Linked DNA regions of Arabidopsis thaliana. The protein of the gene in region 1 purifies or fractionates together with the protein of each later gene. This does not show direct contact. Each region holds a gene or a part of one and is shown on either strand. Other genes may lie near its edges.

Region 1 (5,591 bases):
GGAAGAGACAGACCCTTTTAGAGGAAAAGAGTCGCTATAAACTTTTTCCTCTGCCCAAGGATTTTTTGTGTGTTAAGCAAAAAATGGGGTCAGATCTCAATCTCTAAATATATCACTTGCATTTCTTGGAAACCCCACGAATTTGCATTCTTTTTCTCTTTCTTATTAATAAAAAATGATCTATTGTGATTTTTACCAAACCCGGTAAAATTGTATTTACAGATTTGTATGAATCTACTGCAATCTCCCCGATTGGGCCATTCATACTTTCTCCTACCTTTGTTTTGTTCGTTCATTTTTGACTAATTAAGGGCTTTATTCGTAAATTTTTTTTTTTTTATTGACTTGTTTTTGAATGTTATTAAATGTTTTAGGAGGAGCAGATATTATTTTAGGTTTCTAAATGTTTTTTTCTATTTGAGTAACGCATAACTTTGACTCAAAAACTTTAGATATCTTTGATTAGTTATATAAAAAAAAAACATTTAATTTTTAGTAGAATTTTGAAAGTACGTGTGATTGAATGTGAAGAAGACATACACTTTTATATGCAGAGTGGTCACGGGCATTGCGGTTACTGAAATGATAAAGTTCATAAAATGTTAGATAGAAATTAATCAGTAGAACAATCTAGCTGAAATGTTAGATACAAGCATTTACGAAATAAATAAAAATTTACAGAAAACTGAATAATTCGTAAAAAATGTTATTATATTTTTCATAAACTTTTTATACATTGGAGTTTTTTTTTTCTAATGTCTTCTATCATTCATGTTCCCGCAAATTATCGTGTGTTTGTAATTGTCATTTCAAGAATGCTGAAAGGTCTTAGAATTTACTAGTTACTCTATTAGTTCATGTATCAATCTTAACAAGAAGACAAGAAAAAACAAAAAAAAATCAAAGAGAAAATTGGGAGAAACTAGAAGAAGAAATAAAAAGACAAAAATGGGGAAGAGGTGGGAGATAGAAAGAAACAGTTGTTAGGTGGTGTTGAAAACGTGTGAAGTCTTCTTTGGCTATAAGGGCACAACTGTCCACTTTGCTGCGACACACGTCTTCTCTTCTCTCTCTGACCAAAATAATCACATGTCATGCGGATTAGATTCTTCTTCTTCGTATCGTACGTACTACATGATCAGTTGAAGTTCCGACGTTAGCTGATATTACCTAAACACCCTCCTTCATCACCGCCCCCAACTTGTGTGATGTGTGAACCAGAGAAGACTTTTTCTTTTTTAAGATGCAAAAATCAGTTACTCTTTTCTTCATTTTTCTGTATACTATTCTTAATATCATTCCATTTTCGTATAAATTTAGAAAATCTGATATTAATATCATCCACAAGTTTTTTGAAATTGTAAAGAACAATGTGATTGATTTGTTGAAATTCCCTACTTTAAATTCTGTATGTCTTTGATACCACTCGCAATTGGGATCCATTTCATAGCTAAAGATCTAGTTCCATCAAATCTTATGTGAAAACATACATCGGTTTAAACTACACACAGGTTTAGACTAAATCCGTTTACCTATAACAGCTAAAACCGGTTTCATACCAAGTCTGAGCTACAATCCAAAATCATAGTTATTTATGCTCATTCATCGGAAGCTGAGGCAGACTGTTTCAGACAATCACGCATGATCTCTCCAAGTTTTGAACTAGCATCCAAGCAAAGCTGCATTGCCTGCAATATTTGAAATACAAATGTTTGGTAACATGTCTGCACAGCTCCTATGTCACAATTATATGTTAACAACATAGACCCTATGGTATGAACAGCTTAAAAAGAAAATGAAGAACAGTCTAATTAACCAATATCCATGTGATTTAGACAAACAAAGCAGTTGAATAACATCAATATTCAACACTAAGAAAAGAAAGACCTTTTGTCTCTAACCGTCATCGGCAAATTAAGGACAAGAGATATTATTGAAAGGCATACCTCGTTGATATTAGGTGTTGTCCATTCACCAGTGATGGTTAGCTGAGTGATTTCATAACGAGATGGCATGCACGTCATCATAAAGCTGCCATCTTCACATCCTTCCTCCTCTGTAACCGGGTCTATCATAAGGCTTTTGCCTATGCAAGACTTCGAAAATTGCAGGCATAATTTCAGTGTATCAAAATAAAGAATTAACAGATATCTATACGTTTTACATGTCTCAGACTATGGTGCACTTGTATATGTCAATGTATGTGTTACTTTCTTCTTCACTTAATGCTAATAAACATAAGAGATAACGCAGAGGAATCAATGCAACTATTGTAACATACACATACCACTGAAACAGCTGTGATAAGGTCATACATCATAATTCCGGCATCAGCTAAAGCAAGACTAGCACATGATATCAAAACAGAGAGGTCACCTGCAATACAATACCATTGGAGAAAATCAGAAAATGCCAAACAACAATCCAATAAGTTGCTTCCATAATCAACTCCACGAATGTCCAAGCGAACCAATAAGCAATCACATTCTGGTAAAATAATTTTGATAGCAGTCGAGTTATTGTTAAGACTTACTTCCTCCAGATTCAAGAACCAATGCAAAAACATCAACGGTTGTTTTTGGAAACGTCTCCATCATTATTACACCTTCCAATGCTTTGTGAAGCATTGATGAATATTCTTTGTGATCAGTTCCCTAAAATACCACAATGTATTACTAAATTTGATGAAACAAGTTAACACCAAATGTTGCGAAATTTGGAGATTACCTGGCCAAGAGTAGGGGAAGCAAAATTTGTATAGCTAACATTACAATTCAATCTACCTACATCACTATAAACCATTGCTTTCTTACTCTCCCTTGGCCCAAATCTAAAATTTTTGAACACACAAAAGCGAATTTAGCTGACAGAAAAGTTAATGCAAATCCTGAATATACAAGTTTTCTAATCTAATAATACTCACACTGAAACAATAACTTTAGTGTTCCCAAACTCAGCATAAGCAGAACCAGAAGCAGAACTCACAGCACCAGTTTGAAGTACTGAAAGAAGCATTTTTCACAAAAGAAACAAAATTCAAATCTAGTTTAGTCTCACAAATAACTGGAGTCATATGAATCCAACCGTAATTTCACAATGAAGAACCCTAACGATTAAGAATTTAGAGGAATCAAAGGTGTTTTTACATGCGGGTCGGCATTGGTGGAAGCCACGGCCATCAGGACGAGACCAATCGAGGTCGGAATCTTTGAATATAGGAAGCCGACTTCTTCCGACGATTTTAGGTGAATACGTTGGAGTTGCGGCTCCAGGTTTAGCTGCCATTGTTCTGAGCTGAGACTAAACAAAATCGAATCTGATTACTGAGAAAGAGTTGAGAAATCAATGGGTCAATCTCAGAGCTACGATGCGAAAGAAGCAACAGTTGGTCTAATAAGAAGAATCGTTACCCTGAGGGTTTGAGAGACAGAGAACGCGGCGGAGAGAGTGGAAGAACGATAAACGCCGTTAAAAGATTTTTAGGGTTTAGCAAAAAATAATTAAAAAAAAGGGGGAAATTGTATATTTAAGTAACTAAAGTAATAAACATTTTTATTTACGTAGTTTCAATTTACTAGAAGATTTTACTTTTGTAATCATTTTAAAATATTTGGTATAAATCTTAACATTAAAAAGAAAAGTGTAGTAATCAAATAAAAATAGAGTTGTTGATATCAAATAAAAATACTATAGCTAATAGCTCTAAATGTTTGACAATTAATGGAATTTAGGTGAATGGGATATAGAAAAATATATTTTCCACTAAATACTTCTTTACATATTCATACCATTAATAATAAATCCAATACCATTAAGGAAAACATATTTACATATATTAACTAATAATACAAATTAAGTATAACCCAAAGATTGAAATGAGGACACATAACCATTAAGCTAAATCATCATAATGCCACCTCTTAAAAACATTATTATGGGTTTCATTATGCCTCGATCATACGATGTTTGGCATTTTCCGCATTACTAGGCCACTTTCCTCCATTTTCATTTTATTCGAAATGCAATCATCAACGTCGTCGGTCCATATCACACGTTTTGTCCACACCAGTATACAGTAGTAACATCCTCCAATAATGAATAAGAAGTACTCCTATGTTTTTTTAGCCTGTATATTGAAATTAATGCAATTTAATACGCCAGTACCTCACAACAAATCAAAAATCAAAGGACTCAGATAAAAAGTCAAAGGAGAAGGCACCGTTTCTTTCTGGGAAGTGAGTTAAAACGAAAACATCTCTGTGGAAAAACCGAAGCCCAGTGGCTAGTACCATAACTCTCAGATTTCTTTCTTTCTTTCATTATCTAGTTTCTATAGAAAAGAAAGAAAAAAAAAAAAAGGTACGTAATCCGACACTTTAATTAAACAAATCTTCGTTTCAGACAAAGACAACCTCGTGGATTGTGTTAAGAACTGCCCGGATCTTTAAACATTCTCACGTCATCTCCATGAAATTTTAAGAACCAGGTATTTTTTTTACGTTATTTGATTTCTTACGAATAGGAACATGTAAAGTAGGTTTCATTATCCTTAGACAGCTCTAGATTTTTCTTTTCGATCTTTTTTATTATTACAAGATCGGCTCATACTCATACTTTGTGATCACGACGATTCATCAAATCCTCTGTTTTTCTTCCTCTTCAATTTTTCGACTTGTATCAATTTTTTATTTTACTCTTTGCATGATCGGAATCAAGGATCAGAAACTGTGTTTGATCGTTGTTTGAATTCAATATTCATCAATACATGTATAGATTTCTGATTGTGTGTCAACTGTGGCGTAGGTTAGGCGCTACCTCGATTTGTGAAGATCTTTCTTCTCTGATGCGTCGACAATATCAAAGTGTTGGCTTCTTTCGTTGACATAACATTGGTTTTTGAGATCGATCACATATGAGAAGGCTCTTTAATGGCGTCCTCAAACTCAGAGAAGAGATGGATATTCCCTCTAGCAATGGCTTCTCTCATGTTCATATTCCTTATAGCTGCATCCTTCAACATGGGTCTCCTCTCTTCTGTCCGTTCTATTAACTCACTCATCTTCTCCTACAATCTATCGACCACCAACGAGACACGAGTCGAATTTGCAGAGTCAAAGATCAATCAGTCCTCGCATCCTCCTCCAGTACAGCCTAGTCTTCCTCGCTTTGGTTATCTAGTTTCAGGGTCAAGAGGTGACTTAGAGAGTCTGTGGAGAGTGTTACGAACATTATACCATCCTAGGAATCAGTACGTTGTTCATCTTGATCTCGAGTCTCCTGCTGAAGAGAGGCTTGAGCTGGCTAAACGTGTGAGCCAAGATCCTGTTTTTAGCGATGTTGGAAATGTTCACATGATCACAAAGGCTAACCTTGTTACGTATCGAGGACCCACAATGGTGGCTAACACGCTCCACGCTTGCGCTATTCTCTTGAAGCAGAGTAAAGAATGGGATTGGTTCATCAATCTCAGTGCCTCGGATTATCCTCTAGTCACTCAAGATGGTAATATAGTTATGTATCTAGTCTCTCTTTCTTCGTTTCAAATAATCTCTGCCCGGATTATCAATGCCCCTTGCTTGCAGATCTGATTG
Region 2 (5,413 bases), 1.8 Mb from region 1:
AGTTTTCAAATTATTGAAACACTTAGGTGTATTATCACAAAAATAAAAAGTTAGGTGTCATTGGCAATTTAATACAAGTTTCTAATTTGATGATATACATGCATTAAACGTGCTTTGCAGTTTGTGCATATAACGAAATTTAGTGTGTATTTTAAAAAGCATCTCCTTACTTGTGCCCTGAAGTGTATGCTTATAAATTTAGTTCTCATTGTGTCAGCAAACTGTGTGTTATCAATTGCCTTACTCCAATGGCTTCAATAAGCTTACTTCAAGTTTCCGTAGCTATCCTTTGCTTTCTCATCCTTCATTACTTTCTCTTCAAGAAACCTCATGGCCGGTACCCTAGGAACTGGCCGGTTCTCCGGATGCTACCCGCTATGCTCAAGGCGCTTCACCGAATCTACGACTACAGCGTGAAGATTCTCGAAACCTCTGACTTGACCTTTCCATTCAAAGGACCGCGGTTCACAGGAATGGATATGTTGCTCACGGTTGATCCAGCTAACATTCATCATATAATGAGCTCAAATTTCTCAAACTACATCAAAGGACCGGAGTTCCAAGATGTTTTTGATGTGTTAGGAGACAGTTTCATCACCACGGACTCGGAGCTATGGAAGAATATGAGGAAATCTTATCAAGCCATGCTCCATAGTCAAGAGTTTCAAAGGTTTTCAATGAGTACCATGACAAGTAAACTCAAGTACGGTCTTGTTCCCCTTCTTAATCATTTTGCTGAGGAAGGAACAACTCTTGACTTGCAAAGCGTCTTCGGGAGGTTCACTTTCGATACAATTTTCATCCTTGTAACTGGTTCTGATCCTAGATCTCTCTCCATTGAAATGCCTGAAGACGAATTTGCTAAAGCTCTCGACGATGTTGGAGAAGGGATTCTTTATAGGCATTTTAAACCAAGGTTCTTGTGGAAGCTGCAAAACTGGATAGGATTCGGACAAGAGAAGAAGCTCACTGAAGCTAATGCAACTTTTGACCGCGTGTGTGCCAAATACATATCAGCCAAGAGAGAAGAGATTAAAAGATCACAAGGGACTTCCAATGGAGGAAGTCAGGATCTTTTAACTTCCTTCATAAAGCTAGACACGACCAAGTACAAGCTCTTGAATCCGAGTGACGATAAGTTCCTTAGAGACAACATCTTAGCTTTCATTCTAGCGGGAAGAGACACAACAGCCACCGCTCTCTCTTGGTTCTTCTGGCTTCTCTCTGAAAATCCACATGTGGTAGCCAAGATTCATCAAGAGATCAACATCAACACTGATCTATCAAGAACAGGAAATAGCCAAGAGAATGTAGACAAGTTGGTGTATTTACATGGTGCGTTGTGTGAAGCAATGAGACTCTACCCACCAGTTTCCTTCGGACGCAAGTCTCCAATCAAATCAGATGTGCTTCCAAGTGGCCATAAAGTTGATGCAAACTCTAAGATTATTATCTGTCTTTATGCATTGGGGAGGATGCGAGCGGTTTGGGGAGAAGATGCATCGCAGTTCAAGCCAGAGAGATGGATTTCGGAGAATGGAGGCATAAAACATGAGCCTTCCTTCAAGTTTTTGTCGTTTAATGCCGGTCCAAGAACTTGTCTAGGTAAACATCTAGCTATGACTCAAATGAAGATAGTGGCAGTGGAGATATTACGAAACTACGACATTAAGGTTCTCCAAGGACAGAAGATTGTGCCAGCTCTTGGTTTTATATTGTCAATGAAACATGGTCTTCAAATCACTGTTACTAAGAGATGTTCTGCTTGAAATTATTCATGTATTAAATAAAAAAATCATTTTGGTTTGGTTTTGATTTGGTTCTTAGTTTTTTTTTTTAGTTTTACGGTTTAAGTAAACCGAAATCCTAATATTGACTGGTTCGGTATAGTTTTGGTTCAAAATTTGCGTGCAAAAAAAAGAAGAGACTGTGCAGTGTTGTTCCTTTCTGGGTTCTCATCGTCGTCAAGGAACAAGCTTTAACAGAGTTTAACATATATTAGGGTTCTTATCTCCAAAACCCACCTCACTCATGGCTGCCAAAGTTTCTGTCTCTCCCACAAGCCTCTTAAATCAGATTGTGGTCCGTATATCTCTAAAAAGTTGGCTTTTTTATGATTTCGATTCGATTTGGTTACAATGAAGCATGGTGTTTTCAATTTTTAGGTTCCAGGTGATGTTGTTCTTGATTTGTCAAACATGAATAACCAAACAATCAAGCTCGGAAGTGGCCTTCTTCAGGTTTCATCTTCTTCTCTTTCTTATGTGTTGTTTGAATCCTAACAATTATTCCAGTGGGCACTTGATTTGTGATATACAATTGCAACTAAAAAGGAATTGTAGATTGACATGTGTTTGTTTTTTTGGCTTATTTTAGGATAATGATGCTATCTCTGCCATGAGAGCTGGCAAATTAAGTTACTCCAAGCCTAATAAGTATTGGCTCGAAAGTTCTCATAAACGGGTGAGCTCAGTGGTCTTACTAATCTTCCCTTTCTGGTTGCTTCTCTATTGAGCTTCTTGTGGATTATAACTGTGTCATCTGCTCGGATACTAGGTCCACTTGATTAATCATGAGTAGAAAAGTAACAAATAACCTGGCACAATTGCATCATGAAGAATTGAAGATTTGCCTTTTGTAGCATTTTGACAATTTGATGCTTTTGTGGATCATTCTTGCTAGTTTTCTCCCTAGTTATTTGATCATATACATCTGGCTTGATAAGACAATTTACCATTTTTGGTTTTCAAAACTCTAGTAGAATATTGTTTTGTTAATTATCTATGTAAGTCTCGTTCTCTTTGTTGCTGACTCTGTTATTATGTTTTTTTTTTGCAGTATATACCTCGCCCTGATGATCATGTTCTTGGAATCGTGGTCGATTCTAGGGCAGATGTAAGTCCTTTGAAATCATTGCTTGTATAGATTCTTGTGTTGTTTTTGGATCCCTCTCAGACTGGTCATCTCTGAAAGCATTTTATTATACTTTAGTTGTCAAATACGATACAAATATATGTTTGTCAGTTTCCGCGACTTCAGTCCTCATTTCTCTGAGCCAATAAAGGTGAACTTGTTTGTTGATGGTCTTGGATCAGTAAATAAATAGGTGGGAGTATTGAAGTTATGGTCTAAAATCAGAAGAAAACTGATACCATTATTGGACAAACAAATGTTAATTGACTTTTAAATTATCAGCTGCAGTTAAGCTTTCTTGCATGAACTAACATCGCCTTAGTAAGTACTGAATTGTTTCTTTTACTCATCATGTCATTGCAGAATTTTTGGGTGGACATTAAAGGACCTCAATTAGCACTTTTGCCAGTTCTTGCATTCGAAGGAGGAACACGAAGAAATATTCCCAAGTTTGAGGCATGTACATTCTGATGACTCAGGAAGCTCTCTTGAATTCTCATTTGGGATATGACATTCTCTATGAATTGATTGTTTCTGGAATGTTCAAATTTTTGTGTACTAAACAGGTAGGCACTCTGCTTTATCTCCGGGTTGTCAAGACAAACATAGGAATGAATCCGGAGCTGTCTTGTACCGAGGGTAAGTTAAAAGCTTTGGAGGCTAAAACAGTGCTGCTTCTCTTAATCCCTTTTAAACTAATTGTCTCTTGTTTCTATGTATTAGCTAGTGGGAAAGCTGCATTATTTGGACCCTTGAGAGATGGTTTCATGTTTGAAACTTCAACTGGTCTTTCAAGAATGTGAGATATACTTCCTCATAAAAAATGTCTCCTTATACTTTATCTATCTTCTTTCGCCATTACAACTTTACTTTCTCATCTCTTATAGGCTGTTGAATTCACCAACGCGCCCGGTCATTGAGGCTCTTGGAAAGAAACTCTCGTTCGAGATAGCTGTGGGCTTAAATGGCAGAGTTTGGGTAAATGCGACAGCTCCACGTATAGTCATTATCGTGGCCAATGCAATAATGAACTCGGAATCTCTAAGTGGGACTCAGCAGAGAATCATGGTTGAGAAATTGCTCGCGATAATTTCAGACTAAACGTTATTGTTCTTGAAATGTAACTGAACCCTCATGATGCTCTTTATAGCAAGTGATTTTGATTCATTCAAATACAATTTTATACAGTAAAAGTGTAGTCTAAATAAAAATACATATGCCACATGACGAATGCTTAATCTGTATACAACAGTAGTCTAAAGGTTGAAGAAATGATACATAACATTGTTAAAGCGAGGGAGGCTCGTATCTGCATACACAATCATATATGTTTCCTTTTATCAACTTCTCAGCCAATCTCTGATTTTTAACCATTGCTAGCTGCCAAAAAGGAAGAGAAGGTTTCAGCCAAAAGTTTCAATAACAGTTCTAGAGCTGAAATTTTCTGTCAAGTGAGGTTTAAACCTTGAGAGCCTCGCATTGGAATTGAGCGTTGAAGTTGGTGTGAAGTGCTCTTCCCATACCTTCCAAGACAACCTGCAATATTGTTAAACATCAAATAAAGAACAAAGCTTCTCTTTTTTGATGTGTTTGAAGTTTATGTCAGGTAGAAAACAGAGAAGGTTTTGTAGATACAAGATCAGCGTCTTTGGCAGCGGCTGCAAGCTCAGAGCTGACTTGTCTGAGGTCGATACAAGGACTTCCACATCCATTTTCAACAACCATCAATGGTGCTGACGTTGAATCCTTCTTTGATCCATCCCCTGGATTTACCATCGCATCCACAAGTAAGCCTCCCATTTCTGCCGCTCTCCTCAAGATGTCACAGTGCTTCAAGAGTAAAGACCGAACAAAAGAGTTAGTTACATGAAAGAACATCATAAACACTGCACAGAATCGAAAGTTAAACCTTAGCAGCCCCAGCGACTATATCAGGCAGTTCCATAGCGGTCACGTCGTTAAGAGCAGGAAGAGAGTTTGCCACTAGAACAACCTGGGGAATCATAATAACATTTTGTTTAGTGTTTCCTCAACTAATTTCACAATGAAATCATTTGGTCTGTGCATTTGATTTTGTGAAGAGAAGATTACTATAGGAAGAGCTAGAGAGAGACACGTACTTCAGTCCCTCGACGGAGAAACTCTCGAGCAAGAGGAAGCATCCCAAGAATGACATCTGCTCCCGAGTTATCAACAAAAAGTAATGCTCTTTTATGTCGATGAGGCTGCTTACCTCCAGATCCAAGCATCCTTTCTTTGAAAGCATCAAAATCGTCTACCTGATTTTACGGACCAAAAAAGATTTCCAGCTTCAAATTAACAGTTAGGAAAAAGTAACCTCAGCGGGGAAAAAGGGTGGTCTTGTCTCTCACCCTCCACGGTCTCTGCATCTTGTTGCGACTCATTCTGTATATTTCAATAATGGTTCCTTTGTGATATAGATCCACACATGCTCGAGATCCCCAGTCAAATATGTTTGCAGCAAGAACACCTTCTATAA
Region 3 (6,196 bases), on another chromosome or scaffold:
AAACTTAAAGAAATGTTAAAAGATGAAATCTTTCAGATCGAAACAGAGGAAGTTTTATTTACCATCTGATAGAATCCTGTTGATCTTGATAGCTGAATCAAGCTGTATCAAAGGATCTTTTGAATAAAGGCCATTGGCTAAACTCATAGCTGCTGAAACTTTGTGTGAGATCGTTTAGAGGAAGCTTGGGTCTTAAGCAACGTGGGTTTTCTCTCTTCTTTGACCTATCCAGAGAAATTTGCAAAACTTGAAGAGAAATCTGAGCTGAAATGTGAAAGAGGCAAAGAAATTTTGCAATTCAGTGCAAGAATGCAAACAAGAATGGAGCGAAAATAACAGATGAATTTACTACGACAATATCGTTATCAGAACCGGCTTGTTTGGTTTGATTTAATTTCGACTGAAACCGGTTCAGTTCAACCAAATTGATTCAGTTTGGTTTTGGGTTTAAATCCGGTTTAATAAAACCCAAATTTCAACATGTTAGGCGTGTTGGTTAGGATCATCGGATCATTGCCAATCTCGAATTACCCCCCAAATCGGAGTGAAATTAGGGTTTATATGTCTAATCACCTTAGCACCACCATGACGAAGACCACGATCAGCACAATTCTTCTTGTGGTTTCTCTGTTCGATCATAACTTGAGCTCTTGCTTTCATGGTTTCTGAATTGACCAAGAAGATCTGAAACAAACACAGAAGCAGATCATCATCATTTCCAACAGTTCATCTTCGATCACCCGAATCAGAATCAGATCATTTTATCTTCTCACTGTGGTCTAGCATTCTCTATTTTCAATCCAGATGAATTGTTTAGGGTTTTTGATCGAAGCTTAAGAAAAAATAGCAGAGACGAGAATGAAGAAGAGTTAACAACGAGCGAAGAAATAATAAAGCATCTCTGCACCTTCTTACTTGAGCTTGTTATCGAATTCATCTAAATTCTCAAAGTGGCGACCAAATTCGATGATTCAATTTCTCCATGGAAACGAAACACAAAGTGGTTTCGGAATATATGGGCCTTTTACGTTATACCAAAGCCCATAGCATAAGAGCCCATCCATTTCGAAAGAAAAAAAAAAAAACAAATCCGTCCCGCGTCAAAAAAACTGAATCCATCTTTAAAGTTTGACCGTTAGTTCGGTAAACAAATAATTTAACCCTTTCTTAATTTTGACCGTTAGTTCGGTAAATTTGAGTAAAATTTTTTCCTAAAAGACAAAACAATGTGGATTCCAACAGGAAGTGGAACTTGGTTCTCTAACAGGAAGTGGAACTTGATTCCAATATGATGAGTAGCTGTTAGAGAACCAAGTTCCACTTCCTGTTGGAATCCACATTGTTTTGTCTTTTAGGACCATCATATTATGTGCATGCTTTTGGTTCAATATGACAGCTATTTCTTTACATCAAAATCTAATATCAGATTATGTGGGATCTTAACGAGAAAAATCAAACTGGAATTCCGGATGAGAACAACCATCACCACCTTCATCTTCCTCTTCAACTAACCTTCCATCTTCCTCTACAAGCCCGTATGTTTGCAGAATCTTCACAGCCTTCTCGTAGATCTCATTGTTGCCATGGTGCTGCAAGTTCTCAATCTTTTCTAGCCCTTCTGCATCTTCAATCATTTGAGAGTAACAGTTCACGTCTCTTAGGTTCTTGTCCACCTCTCCAGCAATCAAAATCATTTCCAGTCCACCTAGAGACACTAAGATGATTCTTAGATCTGGACAAACCAGGATGTCACATAAAGCTTTTATGCAATTCTGCTCCACCAAGTATCTGATACACACCAATGGATATTGTGAATATAGATGATCAATAAGCATGAAAAAAGTGATAAAGAAAGAAGACAGGGATGTACTTGATTTGATTAGGAGAACCACCCACGGAAGCATTTGAAATTGCCCATATAGCTTCTTTCTTTATGTCAAATTCAGCATGTTGTGCCAGATTGACCAACGATGGAATCAAATTTGCATCAATAACCGACTGTTATCATCATCAATGCAAGAAAGACAAATAGAAAATATTTAGTGATAGCAACGTAAATTGTTCAAGTTCTGCAACAGTAACAATCACAAACTCATGCTCACCTGAATTTGTTCTTCTAAACCGGCAGTGATGTTTGAAATCGTCCAGCAAGCTTCCCTCCTTATGCCTCTCATATGGTTTTGAGTAAGCAGGTCAGCAAGAACGGGTAAAACACCACAATTGATCACACACTGAAAAATAAGTTCAAAGAGTTATTTGGTTACAAAATCTAATCTCAACACAGTACTCAAGCAACATATAAATGAAGTGTTCTCCAGGATATAATCATCCAAGATACAGGATTACAAATTAAGCTTTTGATAGTGCTATTGCTTTGAAAAACAATAAATTCACACGGTGTACAAGAGACGTGTTCTTGAAGGCTCCATCAAAGGAATATGAATTACATACGTGAGTCTGCTGACTATTTCCAGAAACTATATTCCCAATGCAACGAAGTGCAGGAACAAGTACAACTGGAGAAGCGTGTCTGCAAAAGAAAAAAATGGCGAGCCTTCATTATCCAAACATGTATCAAACGGTTAAATTTTTTAATATTTGGAGAGAAGTACTAACTGGAGAAGTTCAACTAGTCTTGGGACAACACCCGCCTCGATCACACTTTGGATATTTTCATTTGAAGCATCAGACAGATTCGAAAGCGCCCAGCAAGCATCTATCAAGACTTGTTCATCATCCGAATAAACAAGTCTTTTAAGTACAGGGAGAACATGTTTCACCTATAAATCATGTTTCATAAGTTTAAGTATTGCACCTATAAAACTGAGGAAATAGAGAAGTAAGAATACCAGGTCAAAGGGTGGTGAAGGCTTGCCACGGAAGAAGTTTGATAAAGTCCAAGTCGCATTTCTAAGTATCGACAATGTAGCATGGTTATTCAGCTGATGCAACAGTGGAATAAATGCCCCAGAGTTAAGAACAAAGTCACGGCACTGTATTGAATCACCAGCAACATTACCCAGTCCCCATATAGCCTGCAAATTAAGTGTAACATCAAACTCTTCAAAATTTGAACTCACATATTTAACCATTCATACTCAGAAGAAGCACTATACCTGCTCACGGACATCATCATCAGGGGAAGCAAGAAGCTGAACAAAGAGTGGCACAACACCGTGATCAATCACTACCTTGGTATGCTCAGATGCGCCAGAAGCAATGTTTGTTAAAGCCCAAGCAGCCTCAAACTATAAAAAAGATCAAAGAATTCAGAACCAAAGATTACACTAATCATCAAAGATGGGAACTTTAAGTCTAACCTGAAGCTTAGGGTTATCATCCTTCTTAAGAAACTCTACAAAACGTGGCACAACTCCAGATTTTATCACATTATCAGTAGGTGGACTTCTATCTGAACAATATATAAAACCACAAGACTTTAAGAAACCATTCAAGTAAATATAAGTTCGTATCTTTTTCAACTCAAGATCAAAGAAAAGTAAAGAGTTTTACCGAATGATAGAACCACCCTGAACCGAGTTGTGTACTCAAGCTGCAATGAAGGATCATCCGAGAAAACCCCAGTGATCATATTCGCTATCTCCAACTACAACCATCACCAGAGAGGATCTAATTTAATTACCCAATTCGAAAGCATTCGAGTATAATGATAAAGGTCGTATCTTTCAAAACCTAGGTTTCACTAATCCAAAACCAAAGATCAAACTTTTACCAAACTCTCAAAGGGGTCGTTGGAAATCAACTTGTAATCAGGAGGCAAAACTTTTACACGACGTTTCTTCATCAAATTTTCGTTGCGTTTACTCTTGCGAATCTCGACTAAAAAGTCTTCTCTTCTTCTGCGTCCTTCTTCCGCATCTACAGAGACTTTGTAACGGATTCGACGGATCTCTGTCTTCGTGCTCGGTCGCAAGGACATAGCTTTCTCGATTCTTCGACCTCTCTAAATCAATTCACAAAATCGAAGCGAAACCCTAGAAATTTGAACTGAATGGGATTTGCAAAGTGAAGAAGAGAATGCAAGAGTGGTGAAGATGAAGAAGAAGCGACAACAGTTTCAATTTGAAGAAGCGGGAGGGTTTTCTAATTATCGTTTTTAATTGTTAACCGTATTTATACAGTAGATTGAATCATAAATCATTGATAATCTAAATTTAAGATAAAGTTTACAATCATATTATTAAGAGCTCCAAATTGAAATAATTAGTCAATAATTATTATAAGCTAAAATACTTGAATCTAAACCGAACTAAACCGTGAAGTTGGTTTAGTTACTCGTTACCGACGATAAAAAGAACCATATTTGCAGAGTTTACTCGTTAGATGTGTAGTGTTTTCTCCGGCGAAGGAAAACCTACTTTTCCGGTAAAGTTCATGTATTGATTGGAAAAAGTAGGTTTTGGTTTGTGATTTTGAATTGCTTATGTAAGAAGTAAAAACATTGTTTTTTCTCATATGATTATGTTAACTACTATACATTGTACACTATACTATATGTGCAAGTTGCTTTAAAGAAACAAGATATTCCAAAGACGTCGATTCATCTCTAACAGTAGCAAGACCTTCTCGAGCAACCGTAGCCATCCGATTTGTAGGCGATCTTGGAGGAGATGCATAAAGAACTGATGCCTCGATGATCTCTCTATGTGTGTTTTCAAGATCCTTAGAGATTCGATGTGCTTGAAGAGCGGTTAGGTAAAGTCCCGTGGCTAGAAAGACGGTTATAAGTGAGAACACTCCGGCCGCTGAAAACAAGCCTTGCCGGATTACTAGACAACTAGGTTTTGGTTTAGACCAGTTCTTTAGATGTCCTGATTCCACACTAAGTGCAACCAACAGTAGAACCTCTCCAACACCAAAGCAAACCCTTATAGGAACAAAAAAGAATAATATAATCACAAAATTATCATTAACTTAAGCTATGGTCAGTAACATAAATATGTCATTTCACGATTGCTTATAGTTAGGATTTTTTTATTTTTATTTTATTTTTTATAACTACATGACATTAATTCGTTGCGTTAGAATAAGTCTACGTACCATGTTGAGACGAAGAAGAAGGCAGCTTGAAAAGTGAGCCTCTTCGCAGGAACAGAGTCAGGATCCCACTCAACCAGAACCAGAGACGGCGATGTGGTGACTGCGATAAGTAAGTACATGTGGAAGCCCACCATCGCCACCGCTAGTCCCACAAACGCAATCGCACCACACAACAACGGCGTTTTCCCGCTACCATTATACACGCATGTTTTGCTTCCCCATGTCGCCTATTGCAAATGATTGACAACATATTAATGGCAATGATATAACTTATACTAAATACTATTATAATCGAACGATATGGTAATTAATATAAAACATGAATCAATATAGATTTCTGATTTATTTTGAAAATATAAATGATGAAAACATATGAGAGAAAGTTTATATACATCCCTGTATAGTAATGTACCTGAGATCTTGTGGCTTCGGCATAGAGGCAGAGAACAAAGCAGGAGAGGCCAAAGATTATTGTCAAAACAGCGATGAAAATACCGGTTTTGCTGCTGAGATCTGTGGTTTTAGGGTTTGGAACAAGATCTTGATGGGTCACAGCTCGCACTCTTGTTCTCGACATGTCTCTCGTCAATTTCTAATAGATAGGAATCGAAGTTACATGTTTTGAGAGTTATTATACTTTGATTTGTTTTACATATATGAGAGGCATTGAAAGTGGGAAGAAAAGAATAAACTGGAGTATATTTGATAAATAAATGAAAAAGGAGAGGAGGATAGAAGAATTGCTTCAGCCAAAGGTTGCTTAAAGGCCAAGATTCGCAGGTTCTCTTTCGGATGTCTTTTTAGAAATACTATACTGTTTTCGTATAGTGTCTATTAAACGATGATGTGTAAAATATATAATGTGACGAGAGTTCGTTAATGGAGTTAGTTGGATGATTCTTTTCATATATTACACGTGTATAAGAACATTCTTTTCTTCTTTTTATTTTGTGTTCATACAAAGAACATCGTACCTTTTATTATCTTGAAAGTAAATAAAGATAAAGATAAAAAGATAAGGTGATGAACTTTGTTCGTGAGTCGTGAGTGACTGAGTGTTGTCTTATTTCTATATACTATTTATTAGCATAATCATGTGAGGGCGTGTAATTTTTAATAGGAAGCCAAAAGCCTT
Region 4 (5,873 bases), on another chromosome or scaffold:
GCCTGACTCACCAGCCGACGTAGAAATCTTGGGCTCTTTGGGTTGCAGTGGCATCATCCTTGGAGCTTGTAGTAGGAATAAGCCCTAATATGAATAAGCTAAATCCTATGGAACCTCCCTGCTTATCCTGCATATTATATATACTTTATAGTGTGTTTCTTCTCACACATTCAAGAGAGGGTTATGTAATATATACCTTGTATTTTTGTTTGTATCGTCTTGAAACAGAGGCGTGCGCAAGCAACAAATTATGGCCTACAATATATGGTTCAATGGAAGAGTTCCCTGAAGAACAGTTTTTGCTCGGTTTGGAACAACGACCAGGCGGTGTATCCCCATCGTTGTAACCTCCTATAGAGAATATATTAGCCTCGTTGATCGTGGTCCATAGTTTGACATGGTTCCCAAACTCTCTGAAGCAAACATCTGCATAAGTAGTAAAGTCTTTGCTGCAATGGCAAATAACATCAACTTTTGTTATTTTATCTTAAACTACAAAATCTGTAAGAGAAAATAAGTAACGCCTACATCATTCTGTGGTTGAGCCATCCTCCATATTCATCCTCCAGAGACTGAGGATGATCATAGTGGTAGAGTGTAACATGTGGTTCAATTCCTGTAGTAAGTCTACTTAAACTCTAGTTAATACGAACTAAACCTAACTCTTGAGTCCTACCGTGGATATGAAGATAGGTCTTACCGTGGCTTACTAACTCTTGGATGAGGTTCTTGTAGAACTGTAGACCCTTTTGGTTAACAGGCCCTCTTCCATCTAATCAGATAATAAATTACGAACTGATCATAAATTTGATCCCTTCACTGAGCTATAACATGTTTAAGAAAACTTACTAGGTATTAGCCTAGACCAAGAGATGGAGAATCTGAAAGCATCTAAGTTAGTGTCCACCATCAACTTCACATCATCCTGTATAAATTCATAATGAAACTCAGGCTTGATGAATAAAACCTCATGATGTAGTCAGAGAAACAGAGAAGCTAAAGAACCTTGTACTTGTGATACCCATCACATGCTATATCTCCGTTACCTTGGTCACCTGCAATGTTAGAAACAAGAATCAAAGCACAAGAGTGACAAACTCTAATACTAATAATAGTTTGTGTTAAAATGAAAAGCTTACGAGAGTGACAAAGAGTGTCCCACAGGCTAGGTTTCCTTCCGTCTTCTGCAGCAGCTCCTTCCCACTAGTAGAGACCAAACATTTGGTTCAGTTTTGTTCAAAAGTTAAGAAAAAAGAAGCTCATAAATTGGTTCCAAACCTGATAAGCAGAAGTGCCGGCTCCAAAGACGAATCCCTCAGGGTAGTCAGATCTGCTGAAAACGTCGCTGCATTTCCCGGAGAAAGCAAAAGCAAGAAAAATGGCAAACAGAGCCAAAATCTGTTCCATTTCTCACACACACACACACTCTTTTCTTCGTTCCATGTTAGAATAAGTAAGTCCAGTAGCCATTTGCGTACCCGCTAGATATAGTTGTGACGTAGACATTAATGATGATGCAATTTAGATAAGAAACATATTGGGAAGTGTGTTGAAATGAATTATGGTCTTTATTTACTATGATAAGAAACAGATTACGCTGGATCGGAGCCCAGGTCTGACCAACCCAAATAACGAAAGAAACTAGGGGACCGGAAAACCATGCGGCTATGCAGCCCCAGCCCCACATATATGAGGGCTTTTGGGCCAAAAAAATATTTTTGGACTTTTTGTTACATTTCAATTTTTTTTGGGTATTCCTAAATTTTTGTTAATAGTATGGACTATGATATAATAACTTTTGAGGTATTAAAGTAAAAATATTTGGTCCTCTTATAAAGAAAAAAATATTTTATTTCATAAAACTTAATAATTATTACAAAGCATAAAATATTAAACATACATTATCTTAAAATTTTAAAATAGATGTGAAAAAAACGGAATAACGATAAGTTTTTCTGTTGATTGTTGCAAATTTCAATATACGAATACTTATAACGATGTTTTGAATTGAAATTTTCTACGAATACTTATAACGATATATATAGTAAAAGAGAAATTTCTTAACTTATAATTAAACACCATTAAGTAATGTATGGAGGATTAACAAAATTGGATATAAAACAAGAATGTATAATGTTCATTTTGACGCCATTTCTTCTTCTTCATATTTTACAATTTACACTAAACATTTTCCCAAATTCAGCTCATAATCAAGTGCGCCTCATATTTTCGCCAAATTCATCTAATTGAAAACCCAAATTTCAATATACTCATGTCTTGTGAAGCAAACAAATCTCTTATTTCGCATTTCTTTGGGCTTCGCAACATTATTGGGCTTTGTTTGGGGCCCATTTAGAATGAAGAAGTACTTTAGTTAAAAACTCAGATAAACCTAGCCGTCGTCACCGTCACCGTCTCCGTCGAAATCCCCATTACTTACGACACCGCGAGCTCTCAATCTTCTTCTTACACTCTATTGCTTGTGTTTCCTCTTCACTACAACAGTTTCGTGTACCAAAGGCAGTTCTTTCTTTTGTCCCAAGGTAAGCTTTGTGATTCCTTGAGACTGTGTTGATGAAGCACAGACTCAGAGACTTTTGGTTTATGATTCTCTTTATCTTTGTGACATGAAGCAGAGCTAAAGAAAACATGGGAATACCAGATGCAGCTCAAGACTTGTCGACAGAGATGGAAGTTGATGCTTTTAGAAGAATCTTCCCTCTTCGTTTCTTTGAGCGTCATCTCTCTGAATCTCTTCGTCCTGATGGAAGACAACTTGGAAAAGCTAGAGACACCATTGTTAATCTTGGTATAAACAATGAAGATTGATTCTTTTTAGTTTTTATCAAATTAAAAATGTCAACTTTATAGTGGTTTCTTGTGTTTGTTGTAGGACTTGTTTCAACTGCTGATGGGTCTGCTCTTGCTAAGATTGGTTCCACTGTAAGAACCCGCCTTAGTCGTTTCGATAGTATTCACATGATCAGCAATGTTTTGCTTACATAGTTGTTTCGTGTTTATAGACTATGCTTGCTGCTATTAGAATGGAAGTTATGACTCCTTCTACGGACTCTCCAGACGAAGGATGCATAGGTTGTTATCTCGTTGTCTTGTTCTCTATGTGGTTTGTTGTTCTTCTTTGGTGATTCATTTTGTGATTCCTTTTTGGTAGCTATTGAGTTCCATATGCCTCCAATTTGTTCTCCGACTGTTCGTCCTGGAAGACCAGCCGAAGCTGCTCCCGTTATTTCAAAGCGTTTGTCTGATACTATTTTAAGGTGTGTTTTGGTTTGATCTTTCTCTTTATATTTTCTCTGTCTCATTGAGCATCAAATACAATGTTCCTTCTAAAAGTGTTTCTTTTTTGTTCTAGTTCTGGTATGATTGATCTTAAAGAACTGTGTCTAGTTAGTGGAAAAGCTGCTTGGATGGGTTATCTGGTGAGTACTCGTTGGTCTTATATCGGTGCTTGTCCGTCAGTTGATTCACATCTATTCTTCTAGGGATCTTTCTCTTTGATATTTAACTGAGTTCTCTAGCATATATATGAACATTGTTGCTCTCTGAAATTTCTCATAGGACATATATTGCCTGGATGCTGATGGTGCTCTCTTTGATGCTGCTCTGCTTGCTGCTGTCGCAGCCTTCTCCAATCGTAAGTTCTTCTCTGTTCTCATCCTTTAGTTGGTTTCACAGCTCCTTTAGAGAACCTTTGAATAAAGCTGATTCTCAAGTTTATCAAATCCATTTCGAATATGAGTAAAAAGAGCAAGCCTTAGAGAACACTTAAATCTTGCTGAGTGAGTCATACCTGAGTAATATTCTTCCCTGCACAATAGCGGTTTGTTCAGAAGTTGTGTGATTGGTGTTCCGAGACAGAAGAATTTTTCCTCTGATGCATAAAATATCTTTTATATTGCAGTGCAAATTCCAATTGTTGCTCTGAATGACAATGGAAGAATAGTTGCCGTCACTGGAGAAAAAGATCAAGACAATGCTTTGATCACCGAGAAAGAAGCAGTGAACAAGGAGAAGAGAAAACTTACGCTTAAGAACATTCCTTTCTCTTTAACTTGCATACTTCACAAGAACTACATCTTAGCAGATCCAACAACCGAAGAAGAATCGATCATGGACACTCTTGTGACTGTTGTTTTGGATTCCTCGGATCAAATGGTTTCTTTCTACAAATCAGGAGGAGCTGCTCTCGCCTATTCATCAGCCATCAAGGTGAGAGTTTTAGCTTTCTCTTAGGTTAATCCACCACTTGATTTACACCGTTTTTTGTTTCTTATAAAGTTGCTATGCGCAGAGCTGTGTCGAGTTAGCAAGGAAGAGAGCAAAGGAGCTTAAGCAGATATTGGGAGAGATGGATATCGACTAATTTATCAGATGGAACGATTCCATAACATTGTTGAAATTTTGTGTTACATATTTTAATCAGATCACCAAGTTACCCATTTAGAGGCAAAGGAAGAAGCTCTTCACCATTTTTGTTCGATTGTGTTACGGTTTTGTTTGTCATATAACGACTTTAATTTAGTGCTAGTGTAAGTGTGAGATTATATTATCTCCATTTCAAACGAACCGAAATGTGCGTAAGCTGATTAATTTTACAAATGTTCAAATCAAAAGCAATTAACAAGTTTGTTTGTTGACCACCATCGCAAGTTTGTTTTTGATTAGGCTTTTCTGAATTTTTTTATGTTATAATGTAAGGGTATGTTAAAATATTATTCCATTTAAAAGAGGCATTGTAACAAGAACCATTCTGAATCTGTGAAAGAAATATTCCATACTAGACGAGGAAAGTCCTCGAGAGACTAATTAAATACTAAATAACATAAAATCATTCTGAATCTGTGGAAGAATCATATGCTAAGCGAGGAACTTCCTCCAAAGACATGAGACTCTCAGTGTGATTATGATAATAGCGGACCTCTCTTACATTTTTATGATTAAGCTTCCAGAATTCTTCGTCACCAATTCCTTCATATAATCATATTTGACCCTCCTTACTAGGGTTCTTTTTGGATCATAATATAAGACATAAATTGCTTCAGATGTTGTTGCAGCTGTATAAATAAACTCACCAGTGGATCATGAGTAATACCTCTCAGCCCCCAAGAAACTTTCCAGATCGGGTCACGTTGAGGAAATTTTCTAAGTGACCGTTCTTGTTTCTCTTCATCCTCCAAAACCCAAAATCATTTACCAGAGACGTCGTCAGAGCAAACCCATGCAAATTTTCCTTCGTAGTTGAGGAAAAATTTGCAAAGTAAATTATCAGCCGCTGATTTTCTTATTGTGTTGAACTTTTCGTACCTCACATCGAAGCTCATAAGGACTTTCTCAACTTCAGAACTATCATCGACTCCAAAAGGTATACTCGCTTCATAATACACTTCCCCGTTGATACATATACTTTGTATTAGTCCCTCGGCGGATAGAGGGACATGTTTAGGGGTATTTTGTGTCACTCTCCATGATTCTTGAGGTCCCAAAGTAAAAACAAGAGGATCTTGGTATCTAGAGCATGAGATGCACAAGACTTTATACTTACCCTCGACCGGATCATATCCTAAAGAGCTACATTCAAATGCGACTTTTGGTAAGGTAACATGTTGTCTCATGATTGGATTCCAAACTACAATATGCCCCAAGAATCTCCCAAACATATCAAGCCATGGACCGACTGGGACCATTCGTGATAATCAAATATGAGAGTGTCTTTCAGATAACGCTCCACATGTGGATAACATGATCTGTCCGGATTTTCATGTTGGGGCATTGCGCAGAAAATACGCTTGTCACTTGTTTTCACGCAGACCAAAAGACACAACCTAGTTGAAGACTGACTCGCGAACGACCTG

What was found.
Region 2: the proteins of RRP41L (region 1) and AT4G32175 fractionate together in Arabidopsis thaliana (co-fractionation; one large-scale study listed by BioGRID). This does not show direct contact.
Region 3: the proteins of RRP41L (region 1) and IMPA-5 fractionate together in Arabidopsis thaliana (co-fractionation; one large-scale study listed by BioGRID). This does not show direct contact.
Region 4: the proteins of RRP41L (region 1) and AT1G60080 fractionate together in Arabidopsis thaliana (co-fractionation; one large-scale study listed by BioGRID). This does not show direct contact.

What each region holds. Positions count from the first base shown.
Region 1 is NC_003075.7:13,737,655-13,743,245, reverse strand, and holds RRP41L (3'-5'-exoribonuclease family protein), read right to left. Parts: upstream 3,499-5,591; 5' UTR 3,411-3,498; exon of another isoform or gene 3,301-3,410; 5' UTR 3,286-3,300; coding exon 3,147-3,285; intron 3,075-3,146; exon of another isoform or gene 3,016-3,074; coding exon of another isoform or gene 3,003-3,015; coding exon 2,924-3,002; intron 2,831-2,923; coding exon 2,728-2,830; intron 2,655-2,727; coding exon 2,534-2,654; intron 2,377-2,533; coding exon 2,288-2,376; coding exon of another isoform or gene 2,219-2,287; exon of another isoform or gene 2,097-2,218; coding exon 1,947-2,096; intron 1,689-1,946; coding exon 1,599-1,688; 3' UTR 1,348-1,598; downstream 1-1,347. Other genes in the region: AT4G27480 (Core-2/I-branching beta-1,6-N-acetylglucosaminyltransferase family protein), read left to right, coding at 4,929-5,502, 5,583-5,591. UniProt on the Arabidopsis thaliana protein: Non-catalytic component of the RNA exosome complex which has 3'->5' exoribonuclease activity and participates in a multitude of cellular RNA processing, maturation and degradation events.
Region 2 is NC_003075.7:15,533,524-15,538,936, forward strand, and holds AT4G32175 (PNAS-3-like protein), read left to right. Parts: upstream 1-1,910; 5' UTR 1,911-2,031; coding exon 2,032-2,082; intron 2,083-2,165; coding exon 2,166-2,240; intron 2,241-2,376; coding exon 2,377-2,463; intron 2,464-2,838; coding exon 2,839-2,895; intron 2,896-3,276; coding exon 3,277-3,369; intron 3,370-3,479; coding exon 3,480-3,552; intron 3,553-3,636; coding exon 3,637-3,712; intron 3,713-3,800; coding exon 3,801-4,014; 3' UTR 4,015-4,079; downstream 4,080-5,413. Other genes in the region: CYP96A2 (cytochrome P450, family 96, subfamily A, polypeptide 2), read left to right, coding at 249-1,769; PANK2 (pantothenate kinase 2), read right to left, coding at 4,201-4,293, 4,378-4,449, 4,549-4,743, 4,823-4,906, 5,034-5,192, 5,286-5,413.
Region 3 is NC_003076.8:19,990,577-19,996,772, forward strand, and holds IMPA-5 (importin alpha), read right to left. Parts: upstream 4,097-6,196; 5' UTR 3,941-4,096; coding exon 3,734-3,940; intron 3,608-3,733; coding exon 3,514-3,607; intron 3,413-3,513; coding exon 3,321-3,412; intron 3,249-3,320; coding exon 3,117-3,248; intron 3,036-3,116; coding exon 2,850-3,035; intron 2,781-2,849; coding exon 2,617-2,780; intron 2,531-2,616; coding exon 2,452-2,530; intron 2,232-2,451; coding exon 2,103-2,231; intron 1,999-2,102; coding exon 1,871-1,998; intron 1,789-1,870; coding exon 1,440-1,788; 3' UTR 1,370-1,439; downstream 1-1,369. Other genes in the region: AT5G49305 (importin subunit alpha), read right to left, coding at 63-147; AT5G49320 (transmembrane protein, putative (DUF1218)), read right to left, coding at 4,507-4,888, 5,062-5,288, 5,474-5,638. UniProt on the Arabidopsis thaliana protein: Binds to conventional NLS motifs and mediates nuclear protein import across the nuclear envelope.
Region 4 is NC_003070.9:22,151,116-22,156,988, reverse strand, and holds AT1G60080 (3'-5'-exoribonuclease family protein), read left to right. Parts: upstream 1-2,345; 5' UTR 2,346-2,543; intron 2,544-2,636; 5' UTR 2,637-2,649; coding exon 2,650-2,809; intron 2,810-2,893; coding exon 2,894-2,943; intron 2,944-3,023; coding exon 3,024-3,093; intron 3,094-3,172; coding exon 3,173-3,278; intron 3,279-3,373; coding exon 3,374-3,440; intron 3,441-3,579; coding exon 3,580-3,655; intron 3,656-3,922; coding exon 3,923-4,230; intron 4,231-4,312; coding exon 4,313-4,384; 3' UTR 4,385-4,759; downstream 4,760-5,873. Other genes in the region: BGLU4 (beta glucosidase 4), read right to left, coding at 12-127, 197-449, 529-616, 701-772, 850-925, 1,006-1,055, 1,140-1,203, 1,279-1,407.